Elephas maximus indicus: one gene and its partners. The protein of the gene in region 3 purifies or fractionates together with the protein of the main gene of each other region. This does not show direct contact. Links are inferred from orthologs where the notes say so. Each region holds a gene or a part of one and is shown on either strand. Other genes may lie near its edges. The genes, in order: CEBPB, PIAS3, STAT3 and PTPN2.

Region 1 (7,235 bases), on a different chromosome or scaffold from region 3:
TTCTGACTCTTGGCAACCTCATGTATGATACATCATGTATTACAGTGTAGAACTGCTCCATGGGGTTTTCTTGGCTGTGATATTTACAGAAGCAGATCTCCAGGCCTTGCTTTCGTGGCACCACTGGGTGGGTTCAAACAGCCAACCTTCAGGTTAGTGGTCAAGTGCAAACTGTGCCACCCAGGGGCCTCAATCCAGAGGATTCATTTAAATTGACTCTGCAGTCCCTGAGGTTGCCACAAGGTGACAGCATATGCACAGACAATTTTCACTGGCTAGCCTGAGAGGCTCTGCCGGTGGTGCCGTCAAAATGACCCTATAGGACAGAGTAGAATTGCTCCTCAGGGTTTCCTAAACTGCAGTCTTTACGGGAGCAGATTGCCAGGTCTTTTCTCCAGAGGAGCCGCATGTAGGTTTGAACCACCAACCTTTTGGTTGGCAGCTGAGTGCTTAACCACGGCTGCATCAGGGCTCCTTCAGTGGCTCTGAGGATTCCAAAATCCCAGATTTGTGGATTTCGGGCCTGACAGCCCTCAGGGATCTACTCCTCGTCCCATTTGGCAGATGGCAAAACTGAGGCCTCAGAGAGGAGACGTGATGGGGAAAAATCCTGGACATTAGAATCAGGGGACCTGGCTTTTAATTCACTGTGATCTTGGGGGAAGCCCTCTCTCAGCCTCAGTTTCCCCAGTGTTTACTGTTTTGTGAGGTTTTCATGACTTGTAGCAGTCGAACCCTTTGTGGGGCTAAAGAGAGGTCTGATTTGACTCATGTGTTGGGGGGGATGCAATAGGCCCAGAACCCCCAAGAGAGGGGATATCCTCATCCTCATTTTTACAGACCATGAACTGAGGCCCAGAGGGGACACCAGACGTGGTCAAAATTCCACTGCAAGGACCAGAGCAGGAAAACAATCCAACCTCCTTCACCCTCTTGTCCCACCCCCACTAGAGACGGCCTCAATTAATGGCCTGATGTTTTGCCTTATTTTCCTGCCTGCCGGCGGATTTCTAAGCCCTTCCGCTGATACTTTTACTGTTGTTAGTTGTTATGTCTGAGCCCATTGTTGCAGCCACTGTGTCAGTCCATCTCGTTGAGAGTCTTTCTCTTTTTTGCTGACCTTCTGCTTTCCTATTCTACTTTTACTACTCTCCTCTTGGGCAAGCTGCCTGGGGTTTCTCCTCCTGAAGATGGGGCTAAGGATAAGCGGCTGAGAATGGGAAGACGGAATTCTGAGAAGCTGTCTGGGAGCACAGGCGGCGTGCATCCATGTCCTGGGCCGTGGCCCCTGCCTGGCTCCTGCCCATCACTGTGAGGCTATGTGGGTCCAGTCCACAGCTTCTGGTTTGAAAAAAGAGAATCCAGAAATTTGAATTTTGGTGTGAAGTCTTCTGATTTTTAAATGTTGGCAATAAATCCACTTAAAAAACAAAATAAAACCAAACCACTATGGGGCCACTCTGAACTCAGCTGTGGATTGGCTCTGACCGGCTGGCTAGGTTTGAGACCCTGTCTGGCCCCAGGTTCCTACAGAAACCACGTGGGATGGTAACTGGAAAGGGTCACTGTGTGTGACCCCAGGTGGATCCCGGTCTCTTGTGTCCTCACTGCCTGCAGGCCCAAAGTGGCCGGTCCCACATAGCCACTCTGGCGTCTTCCTGGCCTCTGGGCCATGGCGGTTCAGAGTCCCCGGCAGCCCCTTCCCTGGGGAAAGATTGAGCATTAATGGTGGGGCAGGAGGCAAGACCTGTTGAGCAATGAGCCTTGTAAAAACAAGGGCTTACGTCACCTGTGCACGTAGCCTCCCTGCAGGACACCTGGGTTGGCACTGGGGTGGGAACTGCTACTGATCTCACTGGCCAGTGGGGAATCTGGCCTGGGTCGCCATGCCTCAGGTGGGGTCAGACACCTGGATGGGGCGGGATCTGGTCCTTGGGTGCTGGTCCCCAGCATCCAGGTGGCCACCTGACTCACTCTGACCCTGGATCACCCTTTTCTGAGCCTCAGTTTTCCTATCCAGAAAATGGGGTTCACAGCACCCGACCTGTTGCGATTTATTACAAATCCAAAGAGGAAAGTTAGGCTGGAAAGATTTTTATCCCTTCCCACCCCTTTGATGTGACCTGGAGCAGGCACAGTTAGCTCCCCTGGGACTCAGTTTCCTCATCTGTAAAGTGGAGATAATAACAGGACTTGCCTCTTACAAATTAGGAGGGTTAAATGAGTCAATACACACAAAGAGCTTACGATATGGTTCAGAGAAGGCAGATTTGCCTGAGAACGCACAGCAATCCCCCAGTTAGCTCCAGGCCTCCCAGGCCTCACTGTATCTCCCCAGAGTGTTGAGAGGCTGGGGTGGGGGCTGAGATTCAGAGAGGGCAGCCATCCTGCCTGAGGTCACACAGTCCAGGAAATGGGGAGTCTCACCTTCTTCTCCACATCCACCTCCATTCATTCGTTCAGTCATGGAGCACCTTCTGTGTACCAGGCACTGGGGAGACAGCCAACAAAGCAGACAAAAATCCCTGCCCTGGAGGGGCTGACATGGGGAGGGGGCAGTGGGCACAGAAAGCAAGGACAGGTGAGAAGGGTGGGAAAATAAAACAGGGAGATGTGAAAGGAGCGCGTGAGGGGCTGGGGCTTTTGATGGGTGGTCAAGGAGGGCTTCTCGGAGGAGGAGGTGACAGTTGGGCTGAGCCCTGAGGGGTGAGAAGGAGCTGCCTGAGGCAGAGCTGGGCGAACAGTGTTCTTGGGTCCAGGGGAACAGCGCATGCATCGATTCACTGGGAAATACTGAGCATGCCCTGCTTAGGAGTTCCAGGCTGCCAGGAGCCAACCGTCCAGGGGAGAGAGAGACAAGTACATACGCAGCTAGGATAATGGGAGATATGGTTTGAGGAGGAAGTTCCTGCGGGGCGGGACAGGGAGGGCCCTCTTGGAGGCGGTGGCCCTCAAGCTGAGGCCTGAGCGTCCCACTTTGCAGCTGGGTGGCCTGGTTGGGTGGCCCTAGGGAAGTTGCTGCACCCCTCTGGACCTCAGTGCCCTCCCTGGCCCAGAGGCTGCTGGGAAGGCCCCAAAAGCGGGCAGGTCAGGCCAGGCCAGGCCAGTGTTTGATCCTGTCCTGCCCCCCACCCCCAAGGGCACTGGCAGATGTCATTTCTCTCGCTCTTGGGGGCGGAGGTCACCCCAGCTCAGGAGATAACGCTGAAGGTTGAGCAATGCCCGCTTGCCTGCCTGCGGGGGACAGGGCTGGGGTCAGTGGGCTGGGGGTCAGCCCCGGGCAGTCCAGGAGCTCCTGCCGGGCTGGTGGCCTGGGCCAGGAGTAGCCAAGCGAAGGGAGGCAGGGAATCGCCAAAATGGCCTAGGAATGGGGCTAGAGAGGGCAGGTGGTCAGAGGGCCTCAGGCCTGGGTTCAAATCCAGTATGAACTCCTGGCCCAGTTCCCTTTCTGTGAAATGAGGGCAGAAGAGCACCTGCCTGGGCAGGGCTCTTAGGTGAAAAAGTGAGTCCCAGGTCCACTGATCGCATAGTAGGGACTTGCGTAAAATGGCGAAGGTCCCTTCTCTCTCCTGCATGCCCCCCAGCAGGCGGCCTCACAACCCCCCTCACCCCCGATCCTCGAAAACAGAAGGCTTTTTGGCCTCTAAACCTGTTGCCATGGAGTCAATTCGGATTCAGAGACCCTATCGGACAGAGTAGAACTGCCCCATATAGAGTTTCCAAGGAGCGTTTGGTGGATTCGAACTGCTGACCTTTCAGTAAACACCAAGGCTCCTTTTGGCTTCTAGGTTGGCAAATAGGTCTTAGGGCACTGGGACAAGGGCTTTTCTTTGGAGATGAATGGAGGCCATGAGGCTGTGTGACCCCGGGCGTGCCATGTTCCTTCTGGGCCTCCTCTGTACCCTCTACTGAGAGTGCCTTTCTCTCCCATGGGGGGCCCAGCGGTCTTAAAACTTAAGCCTTATGTTTGGGAATAACGTTAATAACGACAGGCTTACATGGACTAGGCGCGACGTGAAGTGACTCGCCCACGGTCACACAGTGTGGTAGAGCCCAGCACCCCCGCCATACGTTCCCGAGTCCCAGGTCGGGGGTGGGGTGGGTGGGGCGGGCAAAGACGCGGGTGTGGCTTAAGGGGGCGGGCAGGTGCGGTGGGCGGGGCTGGGGAGGGGCGCAGCCGGATCTAGGCCTTGGCCCCAGAAGAGCGCGGCCCAGCACATCCCCACCTGAAGGTCCGCGTATCTGCAGTGCTTTTAAGAGGCGAGTCGCCACGAATGTGGAATCTCCTTTTTCAAACAGCTGGGGATATAGGGCAAATTTAGGGCAGGGGCTGAGCCCCGGAAAGGGCTTTAGAGATACGGCCCGTGGAGGGGTCGGGGTCTCGAGGGTCCCGCCTGTGGAGCGCCCCCTTTGTGGGGCGTCGGGGCTGGGCTCGGCCAATCCTGAAACCACCGCCTCCTCCAGCAGGGGGCGGGCCGCGGCCGTGTTTGGGGTGGGGAAGGCAATCGGGTCGCCCCCTCCCCGGATTCCCCCCTTCCAGAGCAGCCGCCAGCCCAGTGGGGGCGGTCCGGGGGCGGGGTCGCACCTCCCCCTCTTGCTCCCAATCCGGGGACTGCTAGGTGGGTGTGGGCAGGGGGCGTGAGGTCTCCCCCCCCCCGGCTGGGGGTCCCTGGAGGGCGTGCTAGTGGTCCGGGTCCGGCCTCCTCGCCCGGCCGCCGACCTCTCGGGGGTCTCGGGTGGCCGTGGCCTCCGCGTCCCAGCGGCGGCGGCGGGAGGGGCCGGGGCGGCTGCCAGGCGTGACGCAGCCGTTGCCATGGGCCGCCTTATAAATAACCGAGCTCGGGAGAAACTTTAGCGAGTCAGAGCCGCGCACGGGACCGGGAAGGGGACCCAACCGAGGGTCCAGTCGCCAGCCCCCGCACTAATAGCGGCCACTCCGGCAGCGGCGGCAGCGGCAGTAGTAGCAGCAGCAGCAGCGACAGCGGCGACAGCTCGGAGCCAGGAGGCCGCGCCACCTGCGGGCCGGCCGGAGCGGGCAGCCCCAGGCCCCCTCCCCGGGCACCCGCGTTCATGCAACGCCTGGTGGCCTGGGACCCAGCATGTCTCCCCCTGCCGCCGCCGCCTGCCTTTAAATCCATGGAAGTGGCCAACTTCTACTACGAGGCGGACTGCTTGGCTGCTGCGTACGGTGGCAAGGCGGCCCCCGCGCCCCCCGCGGCCAGGCCCGGGCCGCGCCCCCCCGCCGGCGAGCTGGGGAGTATCGGCGAGCACGAGCGCGCCATTGACTTCAGCCCGTACCTGGAGCCGCTGGGCGCGCCGCAGGCCCCAGCGCCGGCCACGGCCACGGACACCTTCGAGGCGGCTCCGCCCGCGCCCGCCTCCGCCCCCGCGCCCGCCTCCTCCGGGCAGCACCACGACTTCCTTTCCGATCTCTTCTCCGACGATTACGGGGGCAAGAACTGCAAGAAGGCGGCCGAGTACGGCTACGTGAGCCTGGGGCGTCTGGGGGCCGCCAAGGGGGCGCTGCACCCCAGCTGCTTTGCGCCCCTGCACCCACCGCCCCCGCCTCCGCCGCCCGCCGAGCTCAAGGTGGAGCCGGGCTTCGAGCCCGCGGACTGCAAGCGGAAGGAGGAGGCTGGGGCGCCGGGCGGCGGCGCCGCAGGCATGGCGGCGGGCTTCCCGTACGCGCTGCGCGCCTACCTCGGCTACCAGGCGGTGCCGAGCGGCAGCAGCGGGAGCCTCTCCACGTCTTCGTCGTCCAGCCCGCCCGGAACGCCAAGCCCCGCCGACGCCAAGGCGCCCCCTCCGGCCTGCTACCCCGGGGCCGCGCCGGCGCCCTCGCAGGTCAAGAGCAAGGCGAAGAAGACCGTGGACAAGCACAGCGACGAGTACAAGATCCGGCGCGAGCGCAACAACATCGCCGTGCGCAAGAGCCGCGACAAGGCCAAGATGCGCAACCTGGAGACACAGCACAAGGTCTTGGAGCTCACGGCCGAGAACGAGCGGCTGCAGAAGAAGGTGGAGCAGCTGTCGCGCGAGCTCAGCACCCTGCGGAACTTGTTCAAGCAGCTGCCCGAGCCCCTGCTTGCCTCCTCCGGCCACTGCTAGCGCGGCCCCCGCGCGCGTCCCCCTGCCGGCCGGCCTCCGCGCTGCCGGGCGCGCCGCAGCCGCCGAGACTCCCGGGAGCGCCCGCGCCCGCGCTCCCGCCCCCGCCCCTGGTGGCGCCGGCAAAACTTTGGCACTGGGGCGCTTGGCAGCGCGGGGACTCGTCGGTAATTTTAATATTTTATTATATATATCTGTCTATATTTTTGTCCAAACCAACCGCACATGCACCTGGGGCGCCCGCCTGTGGTGTTATTTAAAGAAGAAACGTCTATGTGTACAGATGAATGATAAACTCTCTCCTCTCCTGCCCCCTCTCCCGGCGCCGGCGGGCGGGCCGGTTTCGAAGTTGATGCAATCGGTTTAAACATGGCTGGACGCGTGTGTACACGGGACTGACGCAACCCACGTGTAACTGTCAGCCGGGCCCTGAGTAATCGCTTAAAGATGTTCCTACGGGGTTGTTGCTGTTGTTTTTGTTTTTTTGGTCTTTTTTTTTTTTTTGTATTATAAAAAATAATCTATTTCTATGAGAAAAGAGGAGTCTGTATATTTTGGGAATCTTTTCCGTTTTAAGCATTAAGTAAGAACACTTTTAATAAACTTTTTTTTTTGAGACTGGTTAAAAAAAAGCCTTTTGGGGGCAGTAGTTGGCTTTTGATTTTTTTTCCCCTTTATTTTGGATTGACTTGATTTTCGCTTTCTGGTGTGGGGGATTGTGTTTCTGTGGGGGCTGCTAATATTTTTGGCTTTTTCGCGGCGGGGTGGGGGTGTTGCAGCTGGGCTTGCTTTTAACCGGCTGCCCCCCAAGGTCAGCTTGGAGGTGGGAGTGCTGGTCCTGGGGGTGGAGAGTGCTGGGTCAGGCTTTTGGGGTGACTCAGCACCCCTGGGTGCTGGAGACCGGTGGTTGAGAGGTCCACTTGGGGAGGGGCAGGGACCTCTGGTCCTTAGTGCCAGGCCTGGGTTTTGAGGGAGGCAGAGATCTATGATCCCCCACTATGGGGGCTAGGCAGGCAGGCCTGTGATGCCACAGAAAGAGGGGGTGCCGGTCTTGGTCCTGCTTGGCCCAAGTCAGGGGTAGGCTTTTTTGATCAGTGTAGTGGGGCAGGCTGTTTAAAAACACTTTGTGT
Region 2 (7,810 bases), on a different chromosome or scaffold from region 3:
GATACTACAAGACAATGAGAGACAAAGCAGGTGCAGGAAGATGGATAGGGAGAGCAGGGGGGAACAGAAGACAGAGAGCAGAGTAGAAGGATAACCGCCCAGAAATGAGGCAGAAGACTGATGGGGAAGTACCTGGATGTGAGGATCTGCTGCACTTGCTGGGGTGTAAGGGCAAAGGTAAAGTGCGCTTCCTCAAACCGCTGGCTAGAAGTGGATGCTAAGGACACAAAGGGGCAGTTATTCCCAAGCCCATGCACAAGTGGCCACAGAAGTTGACCCCATCCCAGATTCCTGATCCCACAGGGCTAAAGCCCAAGAAAGGATTGGGGAAGAGGCATGGGGTCCAGGAGGGCCGAGGAACCACAGAGTGGCATACCGAGGGTGGTGGGCCGGATGAGCTCCCCGTAGACTTCATAGAAAGGCAACGGTTTCATAGTGACATCAGGGTGCACAGGCTGGGGCAGAGACGGGTGCATGTCTACTTCACGTTTGGGGACCAGCACAGTGCCAGGGGCCAGGAGGGCCGGGGGAATGGGGGCTAGGGGGCCAGGGGAGCCTACAGGAGGGGTACCAGGGGGCAGAGAGATCAAGGAGAGATCAGAGGGCCCCAGGGTCTTCCGGGGAAAGCGTCGGCGGTAAAGCTCTTTGATCTTCATCTGGACGCTGGGAGCACAGCTGGATTTGAGAAGGTGCAGGGCCTTGGCCAGGAGCTCGTGCTTCCTTCCACTCTTGTTCCGGCCAGCAAAGCCAAGGAGCACCTGGAGCTCAGATACTCGGAAGCTCATCACCATGTGCTATGGAGAAGAACAGAAGCTTGAGGATCCTGCCAAGGACACTGGGGCTAAGCCGCCCATTGGGCAGTGCCCCTCTCCCTCCAGCACTGATCAGAAAGATGCTTTGCAGCTAGTGGGTTACTGTCAGGCAGCCAACCTGGCCAGGGGGACACCTCAGTCTCATTTCAACAACTCTCAGGTCAACCTCCCCACTACCCCCCAGCTTGAGCAGCCCCCGTCTCCCATGCCTGGAAATTGACCACAGTGTGGGCAGGGAAGCCAGACAGCAAGCCATCCCCAGACACACCCTGAGTCCACTACATCCTTCTGCCTCCATCTATGGACTATTTTTTAAGCTGCTTATCTCCTCTCCTGCTCTTTCTCAGACCCATTCCAGCCCCCTGGAAAGAGAATAAGAGACAGGGAGAAGGATGGAGAGAGGAAAGGATTCAGGCTAGACGGCCTTACGGGGAATGAAGAGACAGGTGGTTAGACGATTGTGCCCCACAGTCCACCCCTCCCAACTACCTCAATCTGCCTCAGCTACTTGCCCCAAGTCTCTAAAGCTTTTGTGGACAGGTCAGGGTTCAATACTCCTAACCCCCCCAAACCTTGTCTCTGTGTCATCTGTGTTAACCACCCTTCCCTTCAGTCCTAGTTTTCTAGGAGGAAAACAAGACCAAAACTGGGGGAAAAGGGAGAACAGTGAACCACTAAGTTCAGGTGTCCTGCCTGTTTACCTGTTTACTCCATCTGCTTTTCTCCTATATAGAGAAAATAAGTTATTCCCACTCAGTCCCTCCCAAAGGGGTGAAAGAAAAGAGAGCAAAGCTCTAAACAGAAATCCTGGGAGAATGAGGAGAAGGCGTACAAATCCTGATCCAGGATACAGAACTGCAAGCTCCCAGGGTGGTGCAAATGGTTAACACGCTTGGCTGCTAACCGAAAATTTGGAGGTTCGAATCCAGACAGTGGTGCCGCAAAATAAAGCCCTGACAGCCTACTTCTGAAAAATCAGCCAATGAAAACCCTACGGAGCACAATTCTACTCTGAAACACACGGGATTGCTCTGAGTCGGAATCAATTCGGCTACTGGTTTTACAATGGCACCTGGGCCCACTGGCCCAATGGCTGGACCCCAGCCTGCCTAGGGCTGTGGCTCCATTCGAAAGGGGCAGAATAAAGCCCGGAGGCAGAGGGATGAACCCACTAGTTTTAAGGTTCTGTGACCTATCCTCTGATGCAGTTACCCTCAGGCTGTGTGTGGTGATGGGAGGGCACAAAGAGCTCTCTCGTTGAAGGGCTCCTTTCCATGAATCTCTAGAAGACTCAGCCACAGGCCAGCCTTGCTAGCCCTTCAAAATTCTTCCCTTCATAGGAGGGGTGGCCTTATGGCTTGGTCCATTTTGAGAAATATGGTGAACAACTTGCTACTCTTCCTTCTTCCTCCTCATCCTTATCTCCTCTGTCCTGGCTTTAGCTTTCCAATAGTTGTGCCTATAACTGCCCCTCCTTCCTATCCCAGTTTCACACTCCTCTGCCACAGCCCAAAGACACCCACTCACTAAGGCAGGACCCTCCTCTCAGCCTCCAGGATGCTTTTGCCCCACCCCTCAAAGTATCTGCACGCAGCCCCGCCCCCTATATCTCAGCCGCCAGCTGGGTATTTCCCAAGGTTGGAATACCAAAAGCAGCCCCAAAGCCTCTATACTGTCTATTGCATTTCCCCGAGGACCCTCTCCTACATCTGCCCGCCAGTCCCATCCCTACCTCTGCCCCCTGCTGTCGCATCTCTTGGCCTTGATCAACTAGCCGCCTAAGACTCTACAGCAGCTTTTCCCCCGGCCCTACCCCTACATCTGCCCCAACTACCAAATCCGACTTCTACCCGCGTCCCCGCCCCCTGCGCCGCGGCCCCCAACAGCTGCAATTCCCCTCAGCCCCGCCCCCGAACCCCACCGCAGCCCCTTCTCTCTCATCCCTTGCAGCCCTACAGCCATTCCCCGCCACGTCTCCTGCTGCCACCCGAGCCCTCAGCACCCAGTCTCGGTCGCTGCCCCGATTCGGCGTACCGCCGGGATCCGTCCAGATGGGGATGGGGGAGGGGGCCGGTACCTTTAATTCGCCCAGCTCCGCCATCTTGAGACATCGCAGGCGCCCGAGCCCGAGCCGGAGCTCAGGCCCAGGGACCGGCGCACAACTCCCCACCCCGGCGCCGGCCGCAAATGCCGCCTGCTCCGCCCCGTCCGGCCCCCTACACCGCCCCTTCCCTGCCCCGCCCGCCTGGCTCCGGACAAGCCCCAGCCTCCGTCCCTCCCTCCGCGGCCGGACCCAGCCCCTGCACGTCGTTGGCGGGTCTACAAGACGGGTAGACCCGGAGGGAGTGTACGGCCTAAAATCGCGGGGTCCCGGAGGGTAACGGAGAGAAGGCGGAACCGAAGTGCCTGGGGGAGGGGAGATTTGCCACGCCAGACTTGGGAGGGGATGAGCTTTTAGGGAGTCAAAGATCCTTGAAATATGGAGGGAAAGTATCGGAAACTGCTCAGTCTCAGGGGAATGGGGGAGGAGGGTGGCAAAGTTAGAGCGAATACCCTCATGTCAATCTCTCCAAATTTAAAAAGCTAAAATCAAAGAGTTTTACCAACTCGCGAAATGGGTGAGCTCTGCTGCATTTTAGGGAAACTACGGAATCATAAGGAAGCTATGGTGGCCCAGTGACTAAAGCGCTCGGCTGCTAACCGAAAGGTCGATGGTTCGAAACACCAGCCGCTCCTGGGGAAGAACGATGTGGCAGTCGGCTTCCCTAAAGTTTACAGCCTTGGAAACCCTATGGGGCAGTTCTACTCTGTCCCACAGGGTCGCTGTAAGTAGGAATCGACTTGATGGCAGTGGGTCTGGGTTTATGGAGTCGTAAACAGTTCAGTTCAAGACGGCTATTCTCAGTCCTCTGCCCCCACTTCCCCCCCATACACCAACTACAGTGTAGCTCGTGGTCCAGCCGAAGTACTTCAACTCTGCAGCAAAAAAAGTTTGGTGCTGAGAGCGTGACTTACCAGCAGTCTCAGGGAACGGGGAGGGGGTTCGGAGGGTTCCGAGGTGGGCCGGGGAGGTGGGGAAAGGGGGCTCGGCGTCGCTCCGGCAGTCTGCACGGCTGGAGTCCTGTCCGGCAGCTGGACGCTGCAGCCGCGGCTCGGCCTGGGCGGGAGCTCCGCCCGCCCCAACGCTCGGGCTGGGTCCGCCCCCTCCGGGGTAAGCCCTCCCGGACCGCCCTGCTGGGGAGGGGGCGGGGCCTGAGGCTGGAGGGGGCGGGGCTCGGTGCCCAGTGTTCATGAGATTAACTCTTCATGTGAGTGGATCGGCGAAGACAAGTTCTTGGATCCCATCTTTCACACCTCTCTGATCCCTCGCGCTGGCATAACGGCTTGAGGAGGAGGCACCCTACAAATAAGAGTGTGGACCAGGGATGTGGCCCCATAAAGAGGTTCCTACTTTCTCCCTCCCTGGGGGATAACCTGGGTCTCTTGAATCCAAAGTGTGCCTGGCCCTAACTCTACGTGTGGTTCCCCACCCTCTACCCCAGATACACATACAGTCCTCACAAGAGACCCTACATCTTGGTGTAACTGAAGGTGAGCAGAGCGGAGGTTTTCTTGCCCGTCTCTGAACTACCTACTCTTCTACCTCCAAGGCCTTGGACTCTTCAGGGGCCCCCTTCTCAAAGAAGCTAATTACTTACCTTAAGGCCCCAGAGTAAATCCGTTTTATATCCATAAAAACGTCAACTTTGGGCAGTGAACCCATACTAAGGAGCCCTGGTGGTGCAGTGGTTAAGAGCTCAGCTGTTAACCAAAAGGTCAGCAGTTCAAATCCACCAGCCGCTCCTTGGAAACTCTATGGGGCAGTTCCACTCTGTCCTACAAGGTCGCTATGAATTGGAATCCACTCGCTGGCAACAGGTCTTAAGAACCTTAAGTAAGATCCCTGGGTGGTATAAACCCTATGGAGCAGTTCTACTCTGTAACACATGGGGTCACTATAAATCAGAATCCACTCCAGGGCAGTGGTTTTTGTTTTGTTTTAACAGAAGGACCTAAATGTCCTTTGTTCAACAAATATTTGAGTGATACTCAGGGATTGTTAGGTGCTGTGGACACAAAAACCTTGCAGGAGCTCACATTCTAACAGCAGCGACAACACATGTTAAACCCATAATCAGAATACTCAAAGTATTTCAATAAATAATATGAACAATTCCCTCATGTAGCTTAAGCCTTCAGTATAATCCCAACCATGAGACCCCATCCAAGCCATAAGACTGAAGATGCCAGCCTACTAATATTCCCAAATACCTGTTGAAGTGGCCCATGCCAACTACCTTGTGGAATCTATCCCTATGGAAAATGTCCACCCTCTCCTGACACTCAGGTTCTTTCCTTGATGCTCTGCTGTCTACACTGGTAGGCCCCTCAGACTAAACCCAGGCTCAGGTGTTTGGTTCTAAATCCCAACTGCCCCTTCCTACACCTGAATTGTCATCAGGCCCTATGCCTTTTTTTTTTTTTTTTTTTTCTTCGTTCAGTTCAGTCCTCTAGATCAAAAGTTACTATGGATTAGTTTTTATTATCTAATAATTTTAGAATTTGTGGGGAGAAAGGGTTGGAAGGTGATTACAAAGAGATGGGGGACATTTTAGTAGTGATGGATATGATATCTTCATTATCTTGATTATGGTAATGGTTTCACGAGTTTAAACATATGTCAAAATTTATCAAACTATACACTTTAGATATGTGCAGTTTATTGTATGTCAGTATAAAATTAGAAGAAAGTCAATCTCACCTTGGTTCCTAGTGATTTTGTGAAGGAGGGATCTCCTTTAAAAACGAATTTGAGGTTATAAATTTTGGCATTCCTGCAGAATAACAGAAAACTGGGAACCAAGGCAGCTGAATCTGGTCCTGTACACAAGTTCCAGGAGGGCAGGCACTTCTTCTGTGCTGTTCACATTGTATCCCCAGGGCCTGGCACATAGCAGACTTTTAAAATATCTGATGAATACATTAACAGAGAAAGAGGGGGAAACTGAAAATCAGGGCCAAGTTCCAGGCTGAAGGCAAAGACATTATGATTCCCATCATGGCCCACCAAGCTTTACCTCCTGCCTTCCTACTCTCACCTACACACTCCCATCTGATGCCTGGGGCTCCAGGGGGAGGTTTACAGGAGTAGTGAAGTCCCTCCCTACTACAGTCCATTAAACAGGCTGCCCAGCAGAAATAGGGAGGAACATTAGGGTTAGAATTGCTTTGTGAAAGATTTGTAAAGTCAAGGAATACTCCAGGGCTTGGGGTTGTTGGGGTCACAGTTTACGGGGCTGTATAGAGGGAGATTGTACAGAAAGAGCAGCGGCTGGAAAAGGTTCCACTCCTATGCTAACGTTAACATCACTTACCACTCCCACAACTCAGCCATCCTGGATCAGCTTCCAGGAGCCCGGGAGGGAGCCAAAGGCCTGGTTTGCATTACCAAAGCAGTTTCCTGACTCACAATTAGCCAAATGATCTACCCCCTCTCTGAACCTTTCTCTCTGCAGTTTTTTTCATTTTTCCCACCCGACTAATGAGGAATGGAACAGTCCTTCTATATTTTCTGGTAACTGGGAGCAGGCAAAAAAGAGGTTCTGTTCTCCTTAATAGAAGTCCCTCGGACCTTTGTGATGCTCTTCATCTGGCAGCTGCTCTCTTTCTCCCCTTCTCCTTTCAATCCCTGCTCTCTCCATTCTCCCAGCCTTCAAGCAGCCCTGCGCCCACCCATGCAGACTCCAAAACTGACCTGCACCTTCTCTAGGACCGGATCTACATATCTCATCTGCTCTGTTCCTACCCAAACCCTGAAGCCAGCCCAGCCCCTGGAGCCCATGTGTGGCCCCTGCCTTCAAGGCAGCCGCTCCCCCACTTTTTTTCTCTCAACCCAGCTAGTTTGGCATCTCCCGTATAAAATTTTTCAAAGCTGAAGGCTGAGCATAAAACGATTCACAAATAAGTTCTTTTCTCACCACCTCACATAGTCCTTGCCCCCTCTTTCCCCTGCCTGTCTCAGTTTCCACCTAAGCCTGGTGCTCCGGAAAGGCTTCTAAAGGTTGGTTGGTAACGAGAGGCAATTTAGTATCTTTTTTGCCAAACTGCTGCTGTCTGACCCAGCGTGACCCCACAGAAGGCAGGCTGAGAGAAGGAATGGGAGGGACCAGAGTGTAGGCCACAAACTGCTGTTCCAGGTTTTGGAAGAACTCACTGCCTCACTTTTACCTAGCAGTCTGGCTGGCTGAGGAGCAGGAAGGGGAGGAGACCCCACAGAAGTGACCAAGACAGATACATTTTTTCAGTCTGAGAACAGAACTGGAGGGAAGAAACCAACTGAGTTCGTCTTCATCCCTTTCCCAGGAATCGGACTTTTCATCCCCGTTTGCACCTGGGGCACAGAACAGTAACCACATAAAATAAACCCTCGAATCTAGACGCATGGTCTGATGCATGACAGAATATTTTAGATTGTACACCTTAAAGAAAATCCAGGTCTTTCAATTTCTCCTCCTTAAAAAAGGTCATGGAGCCAGGAGTCTCAAGATCGAGACAAAAGATCAGTATCTGTAAGATAAAGATTTGAAAAAGAAAAGGAAGAGCATCAATCCCCCGTTTTCACTGAGGGCTATGTATTTCAAGTCTTCATCACTAAATAGACGACAGATATGTGGTAACTTTGGTGAAGGGTAAGACAGGCAATATGGGAGAAGCCAGCACAACCTGTACAAGGCAAGGTCCTGGTAGCTCCACAGACACATCTAAACTCCCTGAGGGACCAAACTGCTGGGCTGAGGGCTGTGGGGGCCATGGTCTTGGGGAACATCTAGCTCAACTGGCATAACATAGTTTATAAAGAAAACATTCTGCATTCTGCTTTGGTGAGTAGCGTCTGGGGTCTTAAAAGCCTGTGAGTGGCCATCTAGTATACTCCACTGTTCTCACCCCTTTGGGAGCAA
Region 3 (7,882 bases):
TTGAGACCCAGTTCAAATCGCTCCTTTGCCAAGAAGACTTCCTAGGCAATTTCAGCCCCTATAACCTCTCCTTCCTCTGAAGACTGTAGTGCTTGGTGCAGCGCTGTCCAATACAACTTCCTATAATAACAGAAATGTTCTGTATCTGTACTATATGCTTTTTTTTATATACAATAGCCACCTTTTTGGAAAGCACAGGCTCAATGCTCTTACCACCTCTTTGACGACAACATGTCTCACTGGATGGTTGAAGTACTGATCAAGTCACCCCAGTAGATTACAAATTCTGGGAATAAGACACATTTTATTCTTCCCAGCAACTTTCACAAAGTAATGTTTGTTGACGGATTGGTATGCCACCTCTCTGAAAACCATAAGCTAAAAGGGAGCTGGATTCAAGCTTCTGCAATGATGGTCTCCATCTGCCCCATCTCATACCTGAATGTCAAGACACTTAGACGCAGGGAGGAGAAAGCATCTTTCTGGAGACGCAAACTACCAGTGTAAGCCACAAAGCACTCTGGTTTAAATGACATCTAAGTCACAACTGCCCTTCCCTTAACAAATTTTCCCTAAGAAAACATCTCTTTCCCTTAGCCAAATACCTGTGTTCTGATGGTGCATTTTCCCTACTAAAAACAGTTACTTTCCAAGTTAGACATAGCAGTTAGAAAAGTAACCTAAGCAAGCCCTATCTGTACTTCTTTTTCACCTGTTTATTGAATCTTTGTGTTCCTTGGAGTCTTACAGCCTGCTGGAGGTATTTCACCATCCAGATATATGTTAGAATTGCACTGACACTTTTCCCAGCAGGGCTTACCAAAAACCAAACCAAACCCAGTGCCGTCGAGTCGATTCCAACTCATAGCGACTCTACAGGACAGAGTAGAACTGCCCCACAGAGTTTCCAAGGAGCGCCTGGTGGATTCGAACTGCTGACCCTTTGGTTAGCAGCCGTGGCACTTTACCACTATGTCAGCAGGGCTTACATTCACTCTAAATCAACACCTAATACTTAACCATTGATAGTCAAAAAGAACACAACATATACAGAAAGTATGAGTTCTGCCACTATAGCACTCTGCTGACTTGGACAAGCGTCTTGTTCATTTGCCCCCAATTTCCTTATTTACGAAATAGGTTAATGTTATATGAATGACCTATTATCACAAGCCCTTTGTGGGTCTAGTCATAACTGTGGGTATTTCTAAATGGCTATCCTTCCCAAAAGATACACATACACATATTTTCATGAATTTGCTAATGGTTCTTTGTGGTGGGTGTGCTAACAGATATAGAGACTAAGATCAGCCCCCCAAGATCTACGGAGGTTTTTTTTTTTTTATTCCAGACTTCTCTCTCCCATCCTACTGTGCAAACATCTGAACAAAACTTCTACTAGTACTCCAGTCTGACATATGTAATGAAGAAATCAATGTGTTGACTCAGGGAACACAGACATATTTAATATAAAGAAAAATAGAAAATTGGCTGAATCAAATCACAATACGGTCTAAGTTCACACATAAAAATGGAGATGATTTACCATTTTGACTTATTCAAACCAACGTTTATTAGCACAGCCAGCCAAAAAGTTACAATCCATGTACAGAATAAGTACACCCTTTACATACACATGCAATAAAAACCAGAAGGTACAAACTATATTTTTTAATAAAAAAAAGTGACTAACCACTGATTATGTCAACACACATACACCCACTTGATATAACAGAGTGATGTGTGCTAAACATGGAAAAGGCAACTTGGGCGAGGGTTTGAATTTTGCTAATTTAAGGGCAACCACACCCCCAAACACAGGTAAAGTTTGCGCACATAGCTTCGCCAAGGCCAGCCTGTCTTTGCTTTCCTCTCCTCTGCATTTACCCAAGATCTTGGCTGGGAGACAGAAACCACTGTCGATTGGTTCATTCTGTCCTATGCAATTAAGCAACACCACAATCCAGTAAATGCAATGGCTCAATTATTTATCTTCTGGCCGTGTTTACCAGGTGTTTATAAAAGAATAATGCCAAGGGGGAAAGAGGTTTACTTCTCTCTAGGGCTGGCCTGATTGGGGTTTTATCTTGTTTCGTTTTGTTTTAAAAAGGGGGGGAAAGCACGGCTTAAGCTAGAATAAGATGGAAAGGAATTTAGAAAGAGTACAAGTCTTGTCAATTTCCCTACAGGAAACTAGATTCTTATGCAATAATCCTACCCACAACCAACCAGCCGGTCAGGCTCTCGGGGAAGACACCTATTCCTACCTCCGGAGGATTACAGCTGGCACCTAAAGGAGCGGGAACCGGGCAAGGAGGAAGTGGCTCAGCCAGGAGCCGCCGGACCCTGCCAGCGGGGCGGGGACGAGGCTCTTTCCACACCCCCGCCCCCAGTGATCTCCGCCGGTGTGACAGTCTCTCCTGTGGCCGGAACGTCCCCAGAGTCCCAGGGAGCAGGAAGTAGGGGGGCTGTCCCTCACCGCTGCCACTCCATCCCACAGTCCTCCCTCTCGAGCTCAGTCTCACTCTTCCTCCGCTTCTCCCCTTTTCTCCGAGGAATGAAACTTCCTTTCAGCGCCCCCTCTCCTTTCAGAGGCCCGCTCCTGTCATCCCAGGGAGTCGTCCCTTCAGAGCGACGCTAGGTGTCCCCTCATTTCCCCCCGCCCCACTGAAGTTTCCAGTTTTTCCCCAAACATGCCAAAAAGGTCGCACCCGCTCCCGCGTCCCCGGGGTCCCCAGGCCTGGGGGCGTCTGGGGAGACGGCCCCACCCTTCACCCCCTTCACCTGTTTCTCCGGCTGAGGCCCGACAGGCCGGGGCTGCGCTTGGGCAGGGGTGCGGGCCGCGGGGTTCCCTCAGGCCGCGGGGCCTCTCCCAGCAGACGGGGAGAAAGAACACCAAGTTGGGGTGCTAGTCAAGGATCCGGTTAGGGCTCGCTCCCTCCGTGGCGACGTCGGAACCCCAGGCTCCTCCTCCGGGCCTACGCCGCCACAGCTCCGGAAACGGCTGAATTACAGCCCCTCCAGCCAATCCCCGCCCAGCGCCTGCCGGGCTTAGACACGCTGTTATGCATAATTCATGAGATAGCCAGCTGTCTCCGCCATCCAGAGGCTCCGCTGCGCGCACTGTACCTACGAAGCCCTACCCACCGACCAATCAAAAGAGTCACTGGGGGAAGGGGCGGAGCCAAGTAAAGGCTGGGGACGCCCCTGTGCTGGCTGCTCCGGAGGGCGTAGTGCTCCTCCCTCCACAACAGCCGGGGAAGAGCAGAGGCCAGCGGCACAGAGGCCCGGGGGGAGGGAGGAAAGATGACTGGAATGTCCTGCTGAAAACTCAGCTGAGTTCCTGGCAGTGTGTGACGTCAAGACACTTTAAATGCCCCTGATGCGGCTCCCGCCTGCCCGCTCTCCCTGTTCCCGGCCTTTGGCACCACGTGGAGGCGAGGTTGGGAGCCTCTTACCACGTGCGATTCAGCCAGTTAGACAGTCCCCAGGTATCGCCAGGTCCTCAGGGGGCCCAGCTCCTGAGTCGGGTTTCTGGCGGATAACAAAAAGAACATGGGTGACTCCTGCCTGCTTTGAACTTAATTTCTGCTTGAGTCGGGACATACACACCCGGAAACATGACGTGGAAATAGAGTAATTACTAGAGTGCGTGGGGAGAGGGTAGTGGATTTAACCCTGTCTTCCTTTCCATTCCTTGAAGCTTCATACGCCAATATATATGAAGGTTGACACGTATACTCAGTATTTGACATTTTTATGCCTGAGTTGAAATACCTGAATTTGCCTGTTTTTTGTTTTTTTTTTTTTCACCCGTCTACTTCTTACGCAGGTTTTACTGAATTGAAGCCAGTAGTTTATAGGAAGTGTAGGTTTCGCATAATGGAGTCATAATAGAGGATAAACTTTGCATAATGGAGTGATTTTTGCATTTGTTTTGCTGATACTAACAGGGTTTTAAAATAACAAAAAACCCGTTGCCGTCGATTCGATTCTGACTCATAACGATCCTATAGGACAGAGTAAAACTGCCCCAGACTGTTTCCAAGGAGCGCCTGGTGGATTTGAACTGCCGACTCTGATTAGCAGCTATAGTTCTTACCACTACACCACCAGGGTTTCCTTTAAAATAGCAACTATTAGTATTTATGTTTGTAAACACAAATCTAAAAAGAGCCCATTTTCTCATCATCCAGATAACCCCTACCCCTAGTGGCAGTTTTTTTAAATGAAACTAATACACATTTTTTTAAGTTTTTTAATACATACTCATGGTTAGAAAGTTCAAACCGTTCAGAAAGTGGAAAATGAAAATCTCCTCCTTCCCCTTTTCACCAGCCCCTCTCTCCGAGGGTAACTATTCTTATTAATTTCTGGTGAGAAAATCAATGACTCTTGACTTTAGGAGGGGGTCACAAACCCTCTGAGAGTCTAATGGAGACTATGGTTTCCAGCCCCAGAAAAACACACCACGTAGCATTTACTTGTCAGACTTAACATCGTTCCTCAGCTACCCGAAATCCGTTCAAAGACACTAGATTTGGACCTCTTGGACCTCAGTACATCCAAGTGAGAGATGAGAGCAGCTGTGGGGCACCTGATAGGGTCACTAGGTATGGGATTGAGAGTCTCCCATGTCCCTCCTGTAGACCCAGCCCAGTGTGGAAATCACTGTGCTTGTGTGTAGCATGTGTTGAGCACCCTGTTTGTTTTCTCTCCACCCCAGGACAGATAACCGTCCACCTTCCACCTCACCTAAACTGTCTCTCAGCTGTGCTATACCATGCAGTTGAGTGCCTCCCTAATAACCAAAACTAAAACCCACTGCCGTCCAGTGGATTCTGACTCATAGCAACTCTATAGGACAGGGTAGAACTGCCCCATATGATTTCCAAGGAGCGCCTGGTGGATTCAAACTGCTGACCTTTTGGTTAGCAGCTGTAGCTCTTAACCACTGCGTCACCAGGGCTTCCTCCCTAATAACGGTGGGTCTAATATTTATTTAGTGATTTACTGCTTACAAAGCACTTTTACACTTGTTACCCCTTTTTTTTCTCACAACAATCGGCATGTGATAGATAGGAGAAGCCATATTATTAGCACCTGTTTCACTGATAAGAAACTAAGGTCAAGATAGGGTAAAGTTCTCCAGACTACAAAGGTACTCACAGCTAATCCAGGTGGGTTCAGAGTCTGGTTTTTGGACTCCAGATCTCATAGCTTTGCTCCATTCACTCAAACCCTATTCTCCTCCCCTGACCCCTCACCAACTGGTTTTCATTTCCTCACTGCCTCTCTACCTCATTTACACATAAAATCTATCCCTGAGCCTATACATTTGACCCTGGAACCTCTCCACAGCCTAGCCGCTGGCCTTCTCCACACCTCTGCCGAATCCCTCCTGGTTAAAGATGGCAGTTTCGCTTGGGCCAACCCTGTGGCTTCCTGACTATTCTCTCCTCACTCCAGCCTGTCCTTCCCCTGGCTGCCAGGGACATTGTCCTAAAAATTAAATAAATAAATAAGCAGTCATGTCACAGCCTACTTAAAAATCTCTACTGTTCTCTATTACCTACAGGATAAAACGCAAATTAGATTAAAAAAAAAAAGGTATGTATATATAGAGAGAGAACATCTAAGTCAGTGTTGGGCATCTGGTAGGAACTCAGTGTTCTTTCCGCCCTCTTGTTTTGGCTTACAAAGTCCTACAAAACCTGGCCTAAACCCCCTTTTCCCATCTCATCCCCTCTGTCCCACACACCCTAAGCTCCCACACTGAACTTATCTTCCTTCAAACATGCCAGCACCTTCTGCAATGCCATGCCTTTATGGATATTCTTTCCTCCACATGGAACACCTTCCCTCCCCTCATTCCTTACCTGAAAAACTTTTATTTATCCTTCAAAGCCCCATTCCAACACCACCTTGTCTAGGCTTTCCTAGATTCTTCCTGGCAAAGTGAATCACTTCTGTTGGACTTGCTCAGCAGGTTGCTTCCACATCAAGTATAGCATTCACCACCTTGGATGACAGTGTCTTCATTTATGAGTCTACTTCCTGATAAATAAAATTAATAATTAGCATTTATTAACTATTTACTATGTTCCAGGAAATGTGCTAAGCATTTTACATAGATTATCTCATTTGATCCTTTCAAGAACCTAGCAAGGTGGGTGCTATTATAATTCTCATTGACAACTGAGGAAACTAAGGCTTAGAAAGTTAAAGATTGATCGAAGGCCACACAGCTGGAAACTAGGGACAAACTCAGAATGAGAATCAGGCCTGGTTGACTCCAAAGTCTGCACTCTCTACCCACATGGTAGATAACATTTCCCCCTAATTTAGGTTCCTGGAAGCTTGATGGAATTACTGCTCCTTTTCTTAACCCCAGCATGTGGTATCTAACATAGAATTCATGCAAGACTGAGTTAATTATATGTTAATAAATACGAGTTGAATAATGGTATCAGCAATAGCTAATATTTATGGAGTGTAACTGTGTACTGCGAGCCCTGGTGGCGCAGTGGGTGAAGTGCTCGGCTGCTAACCAAAAAAGTCCATGGTTGGAAACCACCAGTGGATCCCCAGAAGAAAGATGTGGCAGCCTGCTTCCATGGAGATTTACAGCCTTGGAAACCCTATGGGGTCTGTATGAGTTGGAGCTGACTTGATGGCAGCAGGTTTGCTTTTTGGGGTATTTTTTTACTGTGTGCTAATCATTGCTTTAAGCATGTATTAACTCATGTAAACACACCTATTAATTTATTTAATCCTTACAGTAACCCCAAAAGGACGATACTGTTTTTGTTTTTTTAAATTTTTATTGTGCTTTAAGTGAAAGGAGGATACTGTGATTTTACAGATGACTAAAATGAGGCTTGTTGTTGGGTGCTGTGAGTCAATTCCTACTCATAATGACCCCAGGTGACAGAGTAAACTGCCTCATAGTTTTTTCTGGCTGTAATCTTCACAGGTTTTTGTTCTGCAGAGCCTCTGGATGAGTTCAAACCATCAAACTTTTGGTTAGCAGCCAGGCCCTTTAACAGCTTAACTGGCTTAACTGTTGTGCCACCAGCAGGGCTTCAAATCAGCTTGTTCAGCTGGAACCCTTGCTAAGAATTTGTATTTCTAACAAGTTCCCTGCTGAGAATTTGCATTTCTAAGAAGTTCCAAGCTGATAATTTGCATTTCCACTCCAGATATACTGAATCTACATTTTAATCAGATTCTTAGGTATAACTTCCTGGGAACTCATTAGAAATGCGAATTCCCAGCAGGGAACTTGTTAGAAATGCAAATTATCATCAGGGGTTCAAACCAGAGCGAACTGGTTCAAAGCCCTAGCCACTAGCCACCAGGGCTCCTTAAAATGGGCTTACCCAAGATTAAGTGATTTACCCAAAAACATAGAGTTGGTAAGTAGCAGAGCCAGGATTCAACTCCAAGTGTGTCTAATTTGAAAGCCTGAATAACTATTCTGTGATTATATCTCCAGGTCTAAGCTTCCTCTTTGCTATGAGTCAGAATCAACTCGAGGACGGCAATGGGTTAAGCTTCCTCTTGAATGCCCAAAAAAGGGTCTCGAGGAGAGAAAAAGTGAGTCCCCACCCTCTACCCACCAAGTGAATAAAGGCAGAGAGAAGCAGCCCAATGATTTTATGGTGGTTTTCAAACACGTTCGTGAATTCTTTGACACTTCTGCCATCTAAAGGTAGAGTCTAATTCTTCTTGCTTAGTGACTCAGTTCTGACAAATAAAATGCAGTGTAAGCAATGCTGCAGAGCCTTGATCAGAAAAGGTAATACAGCTTCCACCTGACTCTCTCTCTTGGGAGGCTCACCCTTGGAACTCAGCCACCATGTTGTGAGGAAGCCCAAGG
Region 4 (8,006 bases), on a different chromosome or scaffold from region 3:
GCTTCAACTGGTTCATTCCCTGATGAGAATTTGCATTTCCACCCCCAAACCCAGTAACCTCGAGTCGATTCCAACTCATAGCGACCCTACAGGACAGAGTAGAACTGCCCTGTAGAGTTTCAAAGGAGCGCCTTGCGCATTCAAACTGCCGACCCCTCGGTTGGCAGCTGTAGCACTTAACAACTACACCACCAGGGTTTCCACCCCAGATATACTGAATCAGATTCTACAGTTTAACATTTTTTTTTTTCCAGGTGATTCTCGTGTACAATAAATTTTGAGAACCACCACTCTACCAGCGATTCTCTGAACCGCCCCTCATCAGCAGCATTTTCATGGCCTGGGAAGTTGTTAGAGATGCAAATTCTCAGCAGGGGTTTCGAAGGAACCAGGTTCAAAGTCCTGTGGAAAACACCCTTAGCCAACTCTTCCCAGGCTTGCTTTCCATTACATTCTTGTTTTGTGACCTACTTGTACTGTAACACCAGCATGCACGGCATGATTCCTACTGACAAAGCTAACGCTCTGGTTCTTTCATTATGAAAAGTAGAAGAATGCTGACCAACTCACTAAACCAAAAGATGACTAGCCATGACCCCATGAAACTGTTTCCTGAGCTCTTTGAAACCTGATGCGAAATTTTCAGTGGATCTAAGTACGTACATTTTTCGGACAACTGAGATCAGTTTTTATTGAATTCTCGAGGATAATAATGACAAAAAAAAAAAAATCAAGCTGCTTTAGCAAGATAGAAAGCTGAATTAAGTTGCACCACTGATCTTTCTCTTTTCAGGTCGGTATTTTGATATATCAATTGCATCTTGAAGACAGCAGCCTCTCCTCTGTTAAACCAACTATAACTGAGGAACAGCTGCCAGGCTCTCACATAAAGAGTCCTACTACAACTTGCATTTAAGACTTATCGCGATTGGAACAGTCCTAACCAGCACTCTTTAAAAGTTAGTGCCCTATTCTAACATACACTGTACTGATGTGATTAAGACTATTTAAGACTCTGCCTGCTAACGTGTTCCAGAACAAAATGGTATACATTCTGAACATAACGACAAAGGAAACATTTTTTACTGTCATCCAATTAAAGGAAAATGGAGAAAAAAAAACTAAGATCCTCCAGATATACAGGAGAGCCCTTTTTTCCCCCTTTTACTGTACACAGCAGAAACCCTGATGGTGTAGTGGTTAAGTGCTACAGCTGCTAACCAAAAGGTCGGCAGTTTGAATCCACCAAGCGCTCCTTGGAAACTCTATGGGGCAGTTCTACTCTGTCCTATAGGGTCACTATAAGTTGGAATCGACTCAGCAGCAATGGCTTTTTTTACTATACACAAAACAAATCTGGCAGCATTTAACTAACCGCTCAATCCAATCTTGGGAATTAACAGTAAGGAGCAGGCAATCAAATAAATGTTAAATAAAAAGTTTTGTTTGAATTAAAACATATTCTAGTTGACTAAAGAAGCTAGTCACTGGGATCACAAAAGAGCAGGAAAAAAATGTAGAACAAAAACTCAAATTCACAAAAAAGACCAGACTTACTGGCCTGACTGACTGAAGGAACCCCTGAGTCTATGGCCCTTCTGACCTGGAAATGAAGGCATTCCCAGAGACCATCTTTCAGCCAAACAACAGACAGGCCTATAAAATAAACCGTAACAGCTGAGAGGAATGTGTTCCTTAGAGTGACTATAGATCAAAAGAACAACATTTGCCCAAAAGCACAGATAAGAATACAGGAAAGGGTAGAAAATCCACAGGAAAGGAAAGGCAGAACCTAGGCAGAAATGGGGAGAGTGCTGACACACTGAGGGGTCTCAAACCAATGTTACGGAACACTTTATGTACAAACTATCAAATGTGAAATTAATTTGCTCTATAAACTTTCACCTAAAGCACAATAAAATTTAAAGAAAAAGGAAGCCAGTCACAAAAGAACTCATACCGTACGATCCCATTAGTAAGAGTCCCAGAACAGGCAAGATGCTTCTGTGGAACAGAGGTGGTTTACGGGACGTGGGAGAAGGTGATGTGGTACCTTCCGGGGTCAAAAAATGTTCTTTATCTCGATTTGAGTGATGCTTGCACGGGTGTATAAATTTGTGAAACTCCCTGAACTGTACACATAAGATCTGTGCATTTTACTGCGTGTAAAGTTTATCTCGATTCGGGAAAGCACACAGGGAACGATACTCCTTCATCATTTCACAACACAACCGAACCCCATGTCCGTTCCAGGAAGGCTCTCTGTGGACGACCCCGGACTGAGAACCGTCGAAGTGCTGACCCCGAAGCTCTCGCCGCCGCGAAGGTTTAGGCCCCGCCACGACGAGGCCACCGCGATTCACACACCGCCAACCGCTCCCCGCCTTCCGAGACGGGGACCGGGCACCCCGAGGACCCCCGGCCCAGACACCCCCGCCGGCAGCAGCCCGGGGCGGGGCGGCGAGCGGGAGCCCCGTGCCCGCGAACGCAGAGGGCCCACCCGCGCCACCACGAGGCGACGCTGTGGCACCAACCTCCAGAGCTCACTCTGCGCTGGCGAGGAGTATCCCCACTTAAAGCCTTTTTTTTTTTTTTTTCTTTCCAAAAGGGGAAGAAGCAAGCTTCTGCGCCCGACCGGCGCGCCCCCAGCCCGGCCCGTCGGCGTCCGCCCGCCCGCCGAGCGGCCCTGCCACTTCCGCCTGCGGAGGGAAGAGGCGGGGAGGCGGCGGAGGGAGCCGGGCGAGCTCGAGTCCGTGTTCCTCGGGGCAGAGGAGGCTGGGAGGCCAGCCGCCGTGTTAGCCCCTGCGACTCACCAGGTACAGCTGCTGCCAACAATTCCGAGCATCCAGCTCGTCAAACTCCCGCTGGACAGTGACGGACATGGCGGCGGGAGCCACGGACGCGAAGGAAGCCGCTGGCCGCGGAGAGGCTCATGCCCCGCGCGGATCCGGGGAACCCGAGACGCCCCGCGGGCGCATGCGCGGCGCGTGGCCGCCCTCCCCGCCCCCTCCCACCGCTGGCTGTGGGGAAAGTACCTGGCGCGTAGGACGTCAGCGTGCCGACGCGCCGCTGGAGGCCGCACGGCTGGGCGGTGCGGGCAGGCGGTGCATCTGGTGGGCGCGCAGGTGCGGAGGGCGGGCCCGAGCCCCTCCCCCCGCCTGGCGACAGTGCCGGGAAGCTCGGCCTGAGGGGCCCCGCCCTCGGGCTGCGCGGACGGCCGGGGGTGGGGCGTGGGCACCCGCAAGGGCAACTGGCTTGGGTCGGGCCCCAGGAGGTCCCCTCCGAAGTCGTCCGGACCGTCTTGTTTTCTCCGTCCCGATGCTCTTTTTCTCCTTAATTGCAGTTTTTTTAATAATGCAGTATTTCAGTTTATTTTAAATATCATCCAGGTAGGTCGGATGTGCTCCATCTTTGGAGCATATTTTTCAGCCTTCTGGAGAAAAGAGCCTATCCCTCTCCCCCCGCCCGCCCCGACGGCAGCTCTTCTGCGCCTGCGGCTTTTTATGCCAAAAAAATCCCTATAGCAAAAGGAGGGGCAACCTCTCCTGGAGTTTGGGAGAATACATCTTGTTTAGAAAACATCCCACAACTTAAAAATTGCCTGTGAAAAGAAAAGAATCCTTTTTTGTCCAACAAACTTGCTAATTACGGAAATCCTCTTGTTTCACGTTACGATAGTTGTTAGTGAACTCATATGCTCCTCATATTGAGGATGCTTATTATATCATGGTCATAAGAAATGTGAACGCTTAGAAAAATTTTACCTGTGCTGTTCAATATTGAAATAATTAAATGGAATTATGAATTTCTCAGTCGCAGTAGCACATTTCAAGTGTTCAGTAGCCACGTTTTCTACTGGACTGTATTGCAGGGCGTACATATAGAACAATTCTATCATCACAGAAAGTTCGTTTTGACCAGCAAAGTCTGAGAGGATTAAAATACTTGAGGTACGAAAGTGCCCTTAAGTCACGTCCCCGTTGCCGTCAAGTCGATTTTGATTTCTAGCGACCCTATAGGACAGAGTAGATCTGCCCACATAGGGTTTCCAAGGAGTGGCTGGTGGATTAGAACTGCTGACCTTTTGGTAGCAGCCCAGTGCTTAACCACTGTGCAACCAGAGTTCCAACAGAATATAGTACCAGTAAATAATAGAAAATTAAAGATTCCCTGGTGGCCCGATGGTTAAGCAATTTGGCCGCTAACTGAAATATTGACGGTTCGAGCCCAGGCAGCCACGCCAAAAGAAAAATTTGGAGATGAGCTCCAGAAAAGATTATAGCCTAGGAAACTCTATGGCCTTGCTATGAGTTGGAACTGCTACCCAGAGCCACTGTTACCCAGAGGCTACCTGAACAAAGGCCTGGAAATTAAAAAAAAAAAAAAATTTTTTTTTTTACTTCTGGAAAATCTTATGGAACACTCTTCTACTCTAACACACACGGAGTTGCCGTGAGTCGGAGTCCGCTCCACAGCGACTGAGTGATAGAAAATTAAGCAATCAACCAGCGTTTTCTACCTACATTGTTTAATTTGGGAATACATAGAGTTCCCTTCAAAAAAAAAAACAAAAAACCGCACAGTCTCTAATTGTCCTGGTTCCTGAAACTATTGTCATTGAAACTAATTATTTAGAATAAAGGCGCAGATTCTCCCAGAATACCCTAAAATTGTTGGTATCAAGTACTTCCCAAAGGGACTAGCTCAGCAGATTGCTTTCCAACCTGAAAATATCCACTCTTCTACCAAAGAAAGTTTGTCCACTTAATAAAATCCACTGAGACCCTCCAACGTCGGTAATGGTGGGGGTATTCCACTGAGAAGAGGGGCATCTTGATCTCAAAGCAGCAGTTCTTGCCACCAGATATTTCCCATCCCTTAGTAGGTCAATTGTCATCCTCATTTTTTCCTATTTTGCTGAAGTGCAGCTAAAATCTAGTGCAGTGGTCCTCACAGGAGCATCATTTTCTGTTTGATAGACATGCAAAATCACAGGCCCTACCCAAACCTAAGGAATCTGAATTTCTGGGAATGAGGCTTTGAAACGAAGCTCACCAGATGATTTTTATGCATTTTAATGCTCTTCAAGAGCTATGGTGCTAAAAGAATATTTACATAAGGCTAAAACTCAGGGATAAAAGAAACTTTTTATAAAAGAGTAACTTGCTTCTGGGTATTGTGTATATAAAATATGGTTTGTTCTCTCTGTCATATGACTTTCAACCCAACAAGTTCCTAGCTTGCCTGCATTTAAACCCACTGCCATCAAGTCGATTCTGACTTCTAGAGACCCCATAGGGTTTCCAAGGCTTTAGATCTCTACAGAAGCAGACTGTTACATCTTTCTCCTAAAGAGCAGCTGGTGGTTTTGAATCACCCACCTTTCATTTAGCAGACGATCGCTTTGTTAGTATCCATTTCTAAAGACCTCAGACAAAGACTTTTGCCCTATATGAGGTCAAGATCAGTAGTTCTCAAGATTTTTAAGTATCAGGTTCCCCTTTTGCCCACAAAATTTTTAAAGTCCTTTTGATAGTAGCTATACTTTTACGTACATAGTTTTTGCATACTTGAGAAAATATACAATGACCAAAGTCTACTATGAATTTAGTAATATTTTAAATGAATTTGTATTTTTTGAAAAGCATGAGGTATTTATTCATCTTACAGCTAATGCTTGGTGGATAGTACATTCAGATTTTTAGCAATGTGGTCAACTTACTCCTTGGCCCTTGTGAACTGTGCAGCCCACAGGTTGTGGACCACTAGTCTAGAACAAAGGAAATGATGCATAGCAGGAATTTGGAGTCCCTTCTTTCTTCTAAACAAGACATTCCTTCTGAATTCCAGTTTCCTACCTAAGAGGCTCCTCTTCCCCAGATGACTACCATCGTATGTCTATATCCACTTAAGGGAAAACTCTGTTTACTACCCATAGACCCTAAACTAGAACTTCGAAGGGATCAACATATCAAAATACAGCCTAAAAACCTAATGTCCACACAAGAGATGTACCAGGCAGACATTTGGTTGCTTGTGTAGATTTCAGTATCCCATGTGGCTGTCAGTTTGTGGTAAAGCTGCTGCAAAGGACCTCTTTAAAGTGTTGAAGAGCAAAGATGTCACCCTGAAGACTAAGGTGAGCCTGACCCAAGCCCTGGTATTTTCAATTGCATCATATGCATGTGAAAGCTGGACAATGAAGAAGGAAGACCGAAGAAGAGTTGACGCCTTTGAATTGTGGTGTTGGCGAAGAATATTGAATATACCATGGAATGCCAGAAGAACCAATAAATCTGTCTTGGAAGAAGTACAGCTAGAATGCTCCTTAGAGGCAAGGATGGTGAGACTGCGTCTTACATACTTTGGACATGTTGTCAGGAGGGATCAGTCCCTGGAAAAGGACATCATGCTTGGCAAAGTACAGGGTTAGCAGAAAAGAGGAAGACCCTCAATGAGGTGGACTGACACAGTGGCTGCAACAATGGCCTCAAGTGTAATAATGATTGTAAGGATGGCACAGGACCAGGCAGTGTTTCGTTCTGTTGTGCATGGGGTCGCTATGAGTCGGAACCGACTTAACGGCAGCTGACAACAACAACAATAGATTTCAGTGAGAGTGGAACTTCAGACAAGTATATATATATATATTTTAAATAAACCTTTTCTTGAAATACATATACAGAAATATATAAATATAGTGAGTTTTTTATAAAGTTGTTGTTAGGTGCCGTCAGGTCGGTTCCGACTCATAGTGCCTCTATGAACAGAACAAAACACTGCCCAGTCCCACCATTCTCATGGTTGTTGTTCTGCTTGAGCCCATTGTTGCAGTCACTGTCTTAGTCTGTCTTGTTGAGGGTCTTCCTCTTTTTTGCTGACCCTCTACCTTACCAAGCATGATGTCCTTCATCAGGGAGTGGTCCCTCCTGATAACATGTCCAAAATATGTGAGACGAATTCTCGTCATCCTTGCTTCTAAGAAGCATTCTGGCTGTACTTCTTCCAAGACAGATTTGTTCTTTCTTCTGGCATTCTTCGCCAATACCATAATTCAAAAGCTTTGATTCTTCTTTGGTATTTCTTATTCATGCCCAGCTTTGCCATGCATATGAGGCGATTGAAAACACCATGGCTTGGGCCAGGTGCACCTTAGTCCTCAAAATGGCATCTTTGTCCTTCAACACTCCAGAGAGGTCTTTTGCAGCAGACTTGTCCAACGCAGTGTGTCCTTTGACCTCTTTACTGCTGCCTCCATGGGCATTGTCTGTGGATGCAATTAAAATGAAATCCTTGACAACTCCGATTTTTTCTGTATTTCATATAATCTTGCTTGTTGGTCCAGCTGTGAGGATTTTTCTTTTCTTTATGCTGAGGTGTAATCCATACTGGAGGCTGTAGTCTTTGATCTCCATTGCTAAGAGCTTCAAGTCCTCTTCACTTTCAGCAAGCAAGATTGTATCATCTGCATAATGCAGATTGTTAATGAGCCTTCCTCCAATTCTGATACCCCATTCTTCTTCATACAGTCCAGCTTTTCGGATTATTTGCTCAGCAAACAGATTGAATAAGTTTGGTGAAAAGATACAACCCTGACACACACGTTTCCTGACTTTAAACCATACAGTATCCCCTCGTTCTGTCCAAATGAATGCTTCTTGGTCTGTGTACAGCACTATTAAGTGTTCTGGATTCCTGTTCTCCACAATATTATCCATAATTTTTTATGATCCACATAGTCAAATACGTTTGCGTAGTCAGTAAAACACAGGTAAATATCTTTCTAGTATTCTCTACATTCAGCCAGGATCCATCTGATATCAGTAATGATATCCCTTGTTTTATGTCCTTTTTAGAATCTGGCTTGAATTTCTGGCAGTTCTCTGTTGATGTACTATTGCAACCATTTTTGATTATCTTCAGCAAAATTTTACTGACAGTGTTCGATAATTTCCACATTCGGTTGGAACACCTTTCTTTGGAAGAGACATAAATATGGACCTCTC

What was found.
Region 1: the proteins of STAT3 (region 3) and CEBPB purify together in Homo sapiens (affinity purification with western blotting; 3 studies listed by BioGRID, with this or other methods). This does not show direct contact. The link is inferred for Elephas maximus indicus from reciprocal best matches to the Homo sapiens genes STAT3 and CEBPB.
Region 2: the proteins of STAT3 (region 3) and PIAS3 purify together in Homo sapiens (affinity purification with western blotting; 5 studies listed by BioGRID). This does not show direct contact. The link is inferred for Elephas maximus indicus from reciprocal best matches to the Homo sapiens genes STAT3 and PIAS3.
Region 4: the proteins of STAT3 (region 3) and PTPN2 purify together in Homo sapiens (affinity purification with western blotting; 7 studies listed by BioGRID). This does not show direct contact. The link is inferred for Elephas maximus indicus from reciprocal best matches to the Homo sapiens genes STAT3 and PTPN2.

What each region holds. Positions count from the first base shown.
Region 1 is NC_064843.1:19,463,819-19,471,053, reverse strand, and holds CEBPB (CCAAT/enhancer-binding protein beta), read left to right. Parts: upstream 1-4,853; 5' UTR 4,854-5,070; coding exon 5,071-6,108; 3' UTR 6,109-6,721; downstream 6,722-7,235. Other genes in the region: translation initiation factor IF-2-like, read right to left, coding at 2,460-2,539, 4,227-4,815. UniProt on the Homo sapiens protein: Important transcription factor regulating the expression of genes involved in immune and inflammatory responses. Also plays a significant role in adipogenesis, as well as in the gluconeogenic pathway, liver regeneration, and hematopoiesis.
Region 2 is NC_064821.1:157,723,600-157,731,409, reverse strand, and holds the start of PIAS3 (E3 SUMO-protein ligase PIAS3), read right to left. Parts: upstream 3,016-7,810; 5' UTR 2,914-3,015; coding exon 2,890-2,913; intron 795-2,889; coding exon 377-794; intron 218-376; coding exon 133-217; intron 1-132. UniProt on the Homo sapiens protein: Functions as an E3-type small ubiquitin-like modifier (SUMO) ligase, stabilizing the interaction between UBE2I and the substrate, and as a SUMO-tethering factor.
Region 3 is NC_064837.1:49,311,867-49,319,748, forward strand, and holds the start of STAT3 (signal transducer and activator of transcription 3), read right to left. Parts: upstream 3,015-7,882; 5' UTR 2,785-3,014; intron 1-2,784. UniProt on the Homo sapiens protein: Signal transducer and transcription activator that mediates cellular responses to interleukins, KITLG/SCF, LEP and other growth factors. Once activated, recruits coactivators, such as NCOA1 or MED1, to the promoter region of the target gene.
Region 4 is NC_064829.1:8,896,063-8,904,068, reverse strand, and holds the start of PTPN2 (tyrosine-protein phosphatase non-receptor type 2), read right to left. Parts: upstream 3,008-8,006; 5' UTR 2,883-3,007; coding exon 2,814-2,882; intron 1-2,813. UniProt on the Homo sapiens protein: Non-receptor type tyrosine-specific phosphatase that dephosphorylates receptor protein tyrosine kinases including INSR, EGFR, CSF1R, PDGFR.